Linked DNA regions of Macaca fascicularis. The protein of the gene in region 1 interacts with the protein of each later gene in a biochemical or structural test. Links are inferred from orthologs where the notes say so. Each region holds a gene or a part of one and is shown on either strand. Other genes may lie near its edges.

The links.
Region 2: the proteins of PKD1 (region 1) and HDAC9 form a complex in vitro, tested with the Homo sapiens proteins (2 studies listed by BioGRID, with this or other methods). The link is inferred for Macaca fascicularis from reciprocal best matches to the Homo sapiens genes PKD1 and HDAC9.

The regions. Positions count from the first base shown.
Region 1 is NC_088394.1:2,900,420-2,904,783, reverse strand, and holds the start of PKD1 (polycystin-1), read left to right. Parts: upstream 1-1,429; 5' UTR 1,430-1,664; coding exon 1,665-1,885; intron 1,886-4,364. UniProt on the Homo sapiens protein: Component of a heteromeric calcium-permeable ion channel formed by PKD1 and PKD2 that is activated by interaction between PKD1 and a Wnt family member, such as WNT3A and WNT9B. Both PKD1 and PKD2 are required for channel activity.
Region 2 is NC_088377.1:111,560,928-111,564,739, reverse strand, and holds part of HDAC9 (histone deacetylase 9), read left to right. Parts: intron 1-2,226; coding exon 2,227-2,440; intron 2,441-2,908; coding exon 2,909-3,126; intron 3,127-3,812. UniProt on the Homo sapiens protein: Responsible for the deacetylation of lysine residues on the N-terminal part of the core histones (H2A, H2B, H3 and H4).

The DNA.
Region 1 (4,364 bases):
CTGACTGCAATTAAAAGCTGGGTTTGGAATACAATCGCAGCCCTACCACCCACCTGCTGTGTGACCTGGTAAATGTCTTTTTTTTTTTTTTTTGAGACGGAGTTTTGCTTTGTTGCCCAGGCTGGAGTGCAGTGGCACGACCTCGGCTCACTGCAACATCTGCCTCCCAGGTTCAAGCAATTCTACTGCCTCAGGCTCCCAAATAGCTGGGATTATAGGCACCTGCCACCATGCCCATCTGATTTTTGTGTAGAGATGGAGGTTTCACCATGTTGGCTAGGCTGGTCTCGAACTTCTGACTTTGTGATCCGCCCACCTCGGCCTCCCAAAGTGCTGGGATTACAGGCATGAGCCACCGCTCCCGGCCAGTTCTTTTTTTCTTTTTTCCTTTTTTTTTTTTTCGAGACAGGGTCTCACTCTTGTCCAGGCTTGAGTGCAGTGGCACAATCACGGCTTACTATAGCCACTGCCTCCTGGGCTCACATGCTCCTCTGGCCTTGGCCTCCTGAGTACCTGGGACTACAAGCGTGAGCCAGTTTGGCTAATTTTGGCTAATTTTTGTAGAAACGGGGTGTCATCATGTTGGCCAGGCTGGTCTCGAATTCCTGGGCTCAAGGGATCCACCTTCCTTGGCCTCCCAAAGTTCTGAGATTACAGAAGTTAGCCACTGCGCCCTGCTGGCAAATTTCTTAAACTGTCTGTGCCTCAGTGACTTCATTTAATAAAGGGAATAATTGTAGCACCTTTTTCCTAGAGCTGTGAAGATTCAGTGGAATAAATAAGGCAATAAATGAATGGATGGGGAATGAAGGATGTGGGTTTCCTCCCTCTTGTCTTTCAATAAGCTCTCACCATCAACCTCCGGTTGCCTGTTGTCTCTCTTCCCTCTCTCTCCCTCTGTCTCTCTCTTAGCCGGGAAACCTGGGGTAGGGAAGCATGGAGTCAGCGGGAGCAACGGGAGGTTGCGGACACTGATTGGGGACGCCCACGGAGACAGTCCGGGAGAAGGATCGGGGTGGGGCCTGTGGCTGCTGCAGGAGGAGGAGGAGCCCGCGGCCCGGCCCACACCGGGGCAGAAGGGCGGAGCCAGGTGGCGCCCCGCCCACCGCTTCCCGCCCACGCACTTTAGCCTGCAGTGGGGCGGAGCGAGAAAATACCTTGTCCACCTCGCGCCTCTGCCGACTCTGCAGTGCGACGGGCGGAGCTTCAGGACGCCCCGCCTCCTGTTCCGCCCCACGTCGTATGCGACCCGGAGACGCGTGGGGCGGAACTTCCGGACGCCCCGCCCTGCTGCCGACCCTGCGGAGCTGAGGGTGAAGCCTTCGGATGCCCGTCCCTCATCGCTGGCCCGGTCGCGCTGAGGCGAAGGGGGCGGAGCCTGCACCCGCCCCGCCAACCTTCGCCCCGCCCGCCTCGCGCCGCGCAGGGAGGAGGAGGAGGAGCCGCAGCCGGGCCCGCACTGCAGCGCCAGCGCCCGAGCGGGCGGCCAAGCTCCTGGAGCGGCCTGTCCCCGAATCCCGAGCGGGCGTCGCTCAGCAGCCGGTCGCTCAGCAGCCCCGTCCCGCTCCGCGCCCGCCATGCCGTCCGCGGGCCCCGCCTGAGCCGCGGCCTTCGCGCGCGGGCGGGCCTGGGGACGGCGGGGCCATGCGCACGCTGCCCTGACGATGCCGCCCGCGGCGCCCGCCCGCCTGGCGCTGGTCCTGGTCCTGGGCCTGGGCCTGTGGCTCGGGGCGCTGGCGGGGGACCCCGGGCGCGGCTGCGGGCCCTGCGCGCCCCCCTGCCTCTGCGGCCCTGCGCCCGGCGCCGCCTGCCGCGTCAACTGCTCGGGCCGCGGGCTGCGGACGCTCGGTCCCGCGCTGCGCATCCCCGCGGACGCCACGGCGTTGTGAGTAGCGGGCCCAGCGGGACCCGGGAGAGGCCGCGGGGCGGGCGGGCGTGGGCGCGTTCCCTGGCCCGGTACTGGAAGCAGGACGCGGGCCAGGACGCTCCCAGGGCGAGGCTCCGGCGCGGGACGGCGGCCCTGCTAAATAAGGAACGCCTGGAGCCGCGGTTGGCACGGCCCCGGGGAGCCGAAAAACCCCGGGTCTGGAGACAGACGTCCCACCCGGGGGCTCTGCAGACGCCAGCGGGGGCGGGGCGCGGAGGCCGCGCTCAGCTGAGAGGACAAACAGTCGCTAATTGGAGGGGAACTGGGATGCGGCCTGGGGCTGCGGGATACCCTGGGAGGTGGGAATGGCTGTCGGGGGCGGTAGGGAAGACTTTCAGGAGGTGTCTGGACAAAGATTTGATGGATGTGCAAGAATTGGCCTGATGCTTAGGAAGGGGCGATGAGGTGGGTCCAGAAGAAGGGGGCGTGAACGTTGTGAGCAAAGACCGTGAGGCTGGAGGCTGGCCACGGGAGGTGGGCTCGCGGGTGGGCTGGAGTCATGAAGGGCCTCAGGCGCTCTGCTGTTGGGTTCCAAGGCTATCCTGAGAACAGGGGCGAGGGAGGATTGCTGTGAGGGATTAAAGCCTTGTCATGTTCGCTTTCTGGACATAAAAGCAACAGGTGGCCTTCATGGAGACGCTGCCCATAGCCAGGTCTGTGCCAGGCTCCTGTTGGGGGTCGTCATGCGGAATCCTGACCCTGACCCTCTGAGGTATAGGGACTGTGGAGATTTGCATTTCACAGATGGGGAAACAGGTTTGGAGAGGTGACACGACCTGTCCCAGGTATCACAGTCGGGACAGGATCTGTCCCAGGCATTACAGTCAGGGCAGGACCTGTCCCAGGTATCACAGCCGGGATGTGCATAGCAGGGGTATGGAACTGAGGTGCTCAGGATCCAGAGTTGGGTTGAAAAGGGCACAGGGGACTAAGATAAGCAGACAGTTGTCACCAGCGCTGGGGAGAGTCTCGGGACCAGTCTGATGCCTTGTATTTCCCAGGCTCCAGGCTGCTCCCTAGGACGCTGTGTCTCCCTGGATGCGTGCTGGAGTGCTGGATCCCTGGGGAACGTGGCACATCCCCAGACTTGCTGAACATTGGGTGGGTCCTGGCATTTGGTTTTGTAATGTTTCTGGGTCACTCCTGCCTGTGGCCACCCTTCCTTAGGGTAGCCGTGTGTCCTTGGGGCTTTGCTGGTTGTTCTCGAGGGTGGGAGAAGAATGGATTCTCCTGGACCCGTGGAGCTCGTACCTCTCTGGGCCACATTGCTCCTGCGCTCACTGACTGCTGAAGTGTGTCTTGCGGCCGTCTCTGTGGAGATGGCCTCCTCCTGCCTGGCAGCAGCGCCCACAGAATTGCATCAGACCTACCCACCCGTTGTTTCTGATGCTGTAGCCGAGGGCTCCTCTGTCTGCCAGTCTGGTCACTGGGGGCTCTGTCCAGGTCCTGCACCTGGGGTTCCTGCTTCCCAGCACCTGGTGGTGTCCATGTGAGCAGCCCCTCAGGAGCTGTCCAGGAGAGAAGGGCGCTGGTGGCGGCTGACCGGAGAACAAGGCCCGGGCTCTCCAGGCCCTCAGCACAGCAGTGGAGCCCCCACCCTCGCCCATGCCTTGTGGTGTTCCCTTAAGCTCTGATCCTGGGATTTGGAGGAGGGGGACCCTGGGAGTTGGTGGCCTGTCCCAGCCTGAGCTGGCAAGATTCCAATTGCCAGGCCCCTCAACTGTGCAACAGGGTACAGGGTGACCTCATGTGGGCAGGTGGGTGCTGTTCTGTACACACCTGGAGCTGCCGCTGGGAGAGTTCTGGAAGGTGGGGCGAGGGGACCCATGGGACACTGGGGCCTTGGGAAGGATGTTAAGGCCCTGGCTGGCCCCTGAGGCGACCCTCTGTGCTGTGGAGGCTGCCCAGCCATTTTGCTGTCTATCCTGCAATCTCCTCCTCAGGGAGATGGCTGGGTTTTCCCCAGGGGAGAGGGGCCGAGCTGGGGAGGTCGAGGACACAGATCACAGCTGCTGGCGGGTGTTTAAGGGCCCAGGAGCGTTGCTATCTGGGTGTCCCCAGCAGCCTTCCTAGGGGGCTCATGCAGGTGCCTCTCTACTTGTGGCTCCCCGGCTGCTGAAGCTCAACAGGAACAGCTGTGTCCAGTCCCCGATGGAGGACAGCCGGGGCTTCTGAGGCCACAGCCTTCCTTGGGTTAATGATGATGCTGAGAGGTGGCAGCTTTTGGAAAAGATGGCGCACTGCAAAATGTGCTGCCCCGCGTGACTGGAAGCTTCGTGGGGAGACGTGGGCAGAGCTGTGACTGACTCATGGACCACCCACCCCAGAGCCTGCCCTGCCCTCCTTGCCCCTACCCTTCTCCCTCCTAACCCATGTTTTGAACCAAATTCCTTTTCTTTATCTGCAAGCATTTTGGAGGGCATGGCAATACCGCAGA
Region 2 (3,812 bases), on another chromosome or scaffold:
TAGCAGAAGATGGCAATAATTATTCTATGCATATTCCCTAAAACCGTATCAGTTTTAGTTGTAAAAAATGTGTGGGCCTTATCCAGAATAATTCATCTCTGAAATGTTAATTAAATTGTATGCATACAGGGGTCATATGATACATTAGGTTTAGAGAAAAATTTATTCCAACTCTCATCACCAATTTGGCCAATCCTTACCTTCAAGTCTTCCACTGAGTAGAATGTGTCAAGTTCATGTGTATGTTCAATACATAGTTTCAATACTTATTTTAAAATCAATCTAAGAGATATCTTATTATCTCTGGTATTGTCAATAGACTATAATGTCATTTTATGTGGTACTGTGTTCTTCTTATACCAATGAGGAAAAAACAAAATTTGGATGTCGTCCTATATCTGGGGATTATAAAAGAAAGCATTGAAAATACTGAATTCAGCTATGCTCTTAAAATTCCACATGAAACATTTGTAAATGAAATGAAAAACAAAAAAGGAATTAGGAATGAAACTAAAAATAAATATTCACAGATAATATTTTATAGTTATCACTAATTAAAAATTATTTTTCCTTCTGTTTCTATTTCCTATCTTTTCTAACGATAAGTAAATATAAACCCAAAAACTTCTTATGACACATGAATAGGCATTTTATTTTTACTTATTTTTGTATGTTCTAAGCCACTCCTCTCAATAACTCACACATGTACCACTTTTAATGTGGTCAAGGAAAATTTTTTCCCAAAGGACCAAGTACTAAAGCCAGACCATTTAATCTTTCAAAGGTAATACGATTTGGTACCATTGGATGAAGAAACCAATGTGGTTTGGATTAAAGTTTCATTTTTCTTTGCTTCCATTTTGGTGTGGATGAGGCCATCACAATTAATTTTTCAAGTTTAGCATTGCTTTGCCAACGGGATCTCTAGTATTCCATTTCTCCACTGAATACTGGGAAATTTTAAGGAAAAGAGGCCAGGACAAGGAATCACTTCTAGATTAAACATTGCATTGACTTGCTGTGTGACTCAGACAAACCACTTACCTCTTTGTCCTTCAATTTCTCCATCGCTGAAAATTGCTTCGCCTCCCTGGTGCACAGCAATTTTGAAAGATGAAACTTGAGTTTTGAAAAGAAACATGCCACATAATTTTGAGGTATTAGAGTCCTGCTTTTGTAATAGCAAAATGACCACCATTCATTAAATCATTTGAATAGGATAATTCATTATTGCTATTGATGATATAATTATTATTGCCTTATTACTGTGTTATCATACATTTCAAGTTCTTAATAGCATTTTTATTTGATATCTTATTTCACTTGTAGTTTATTATACAAAATATCTGGAATGTCATTTTCAATATTTAGAGATTTGGGGATCTGTTATGAATTAATATAAACTGTTTAAATCAAATTTCTGCATATTTTTACCTCCTTTCATTGGGTTATTTTAAGAATTTAATTTTAAAAATTAAACATTGGACACTTACAGCTCTGTGAAATTATTAGAAGCCATGTAGAGAAAGGGTAAATTGTTCCTTTTGCTTGCAACTCCAAAATTACAGTCCATCTTATCTCCAGCTTCTTAATCCCCATGATATAGTCTTTGAATAAATTTTACCTTTCCAGTATGCCTTTAACTTAAACAGTGTATAAAATATTTTAGAAATGTACTTTCCACTTATTAAGCCTGAAATAAGCATTTTTTTGTTTTTTTTATTGACACATAAAAGGTACATAATTTGTGGTTTACAACATAATGATTTGATATATGTATACATTGTAGAGTGACTTAAGCTAATTAACATATGCATTGTCTCACATACTTATTTTTCATGGTGAGAACACTGAAAATCTATTCTCTCAGAAATGTTCACGTGTACAATATATTGTTATTAACTGTAGTCATCATGTACAATAGATCTCTTGAATTTATTCTTTCCACCTAAAATTGTGTACGTAGCATCACTTCTGATTTTAATTTAAAAAACTTTTTATGTTCAATACAATGACAATATTAAATCGTCTTCAGTGCTCCAACCCTATTTTTATTTCTTCTTTATTGAGTTAGTTGAAAAGGTCCATTTTCCCGGCTCAGCCATTGGGTAAGATGGGGCTTTTGTTTTGGGAAGCTACGGCATAGGAAACTTGTCTAATGATGTAGAGACCCAGTGACCCACATGGATGAAAGAGGATTAACATCTTTGTTATTTCTCAACACAGGCTTCGAATTCACTCAAAGAAAAGCAGAAGTGTGAGACGCAGACGCTTAGGCAAGGTGTTCCTCTGCCTGGGCAGTACGGGGGCAGCATCCCTGCGTCTTCCAGCCACCCTCATGTTACTTTAGAGGGAAAGCCGCCCAACAGCAGCCACCAGGCTCTCCTGCAGCATCTATTATTGAAAGAACAAATGCGACAGCAAAAGCTTCTTGTAGCTGGTAATTCATTATGGCACCTTTTGCGGATCATTTTAGGATTTTATTTTATTAGTGATCCAGGATAATGTCTCTTTTACTTAAGACCCTGATAGAGATCCACAGTGCTATACAAAAGTCTCCCTGATACCTGGTACTGTGGGAAAGGCTATCACCTCTATTTATTCCTTCAGATCCAACTGGGGTAGGAGGACTCACCTCATTTAACCTTTATTCATACCAGACTAGACTGGTGAGTTGTAAGGTCAGGTGCGTACCTGTCCAATGCCCTGACATTTCTCTCTTCCCACACCTGACCTTTTGACCACACCTTCTGTTGTTTGCCTGGTAGCATGAGTAATTCACTAATTTTCTTATAGTTTATACCATATATCTGTTTTCTTTGGCTTCTTATCTTTTCTTAAAATTGTGCGTGTGTGTGTGTATGTGTGTGTGTGTATACACACATATACATGTATTTTTTTTTTTCAGGTGGCGTTCCCTTACATCCTCAGTCTCCCTTGGCAACAAAAGAGAGAATTTCACCTGGCATTAGAGGTACCCACAAATTGCCCCGTCACAGACCCCTGAACCGAACCCAGTCTGCACCTTTGCCTCAGAGCACTTTGGCTCAGCTGGTCATTCAACAGCAACACCAGCAATTCTTGGAGAAGCAGAAACAATACCAGCAGCAAATCCACATGAACAAAGTAAGCCTCCAAGCCAAGTCAAAATGTTCTAACCGCTGGTTTGGAAATTGGGGATCTCTTCACTGATATGGGTATATAAGAGAAATGTTGATGGGAGTCACAGCAAAAAGGATGTGATCATCCTAAGCCTGCTTTCTTGGCTCAAGGACAGCATCACAATATCAGTGTTTTAACCACCATTATGTTCATGAGACATTTGTACAAAATTGAGATGATACATTTGCAAGATCTTTTATGATCAGGTATCTATTTTGGTACACAACCCCATATAGGCCTGTATATGTGGAGCCTCATTTTTTAGTGTTGCAGAAAAGATTTGAGGCAGACTTGAATGTGGTGCATTGACATGTCAAAAAGTTTGTACAGGTGATGGCAGATAGGCCAAGGTTAGCCAGTAAGGCACTTCTCAGCAACTTGTATGCATCTATGTTACATTTATTTTGCATATGCCCCACTTCATTCCAATAAGCGTTTGGAGTAGTTTCTCAGAAACTTGTGATCATTTCTTCCTGGAAGTCTTAACGTTGCTAAAATGGACAGCGGATGTCTGTACCATACCACATCCTTAGGAGCTCTCCTGCTGAGGCAACTACAAAGAAACAGTGATTGCAGCATAATATCAGACAGGCCAGTAAAGGATTTTCTATGAATTTGTAAGCAAAATGATATTAAAGAACCTGGTCTGG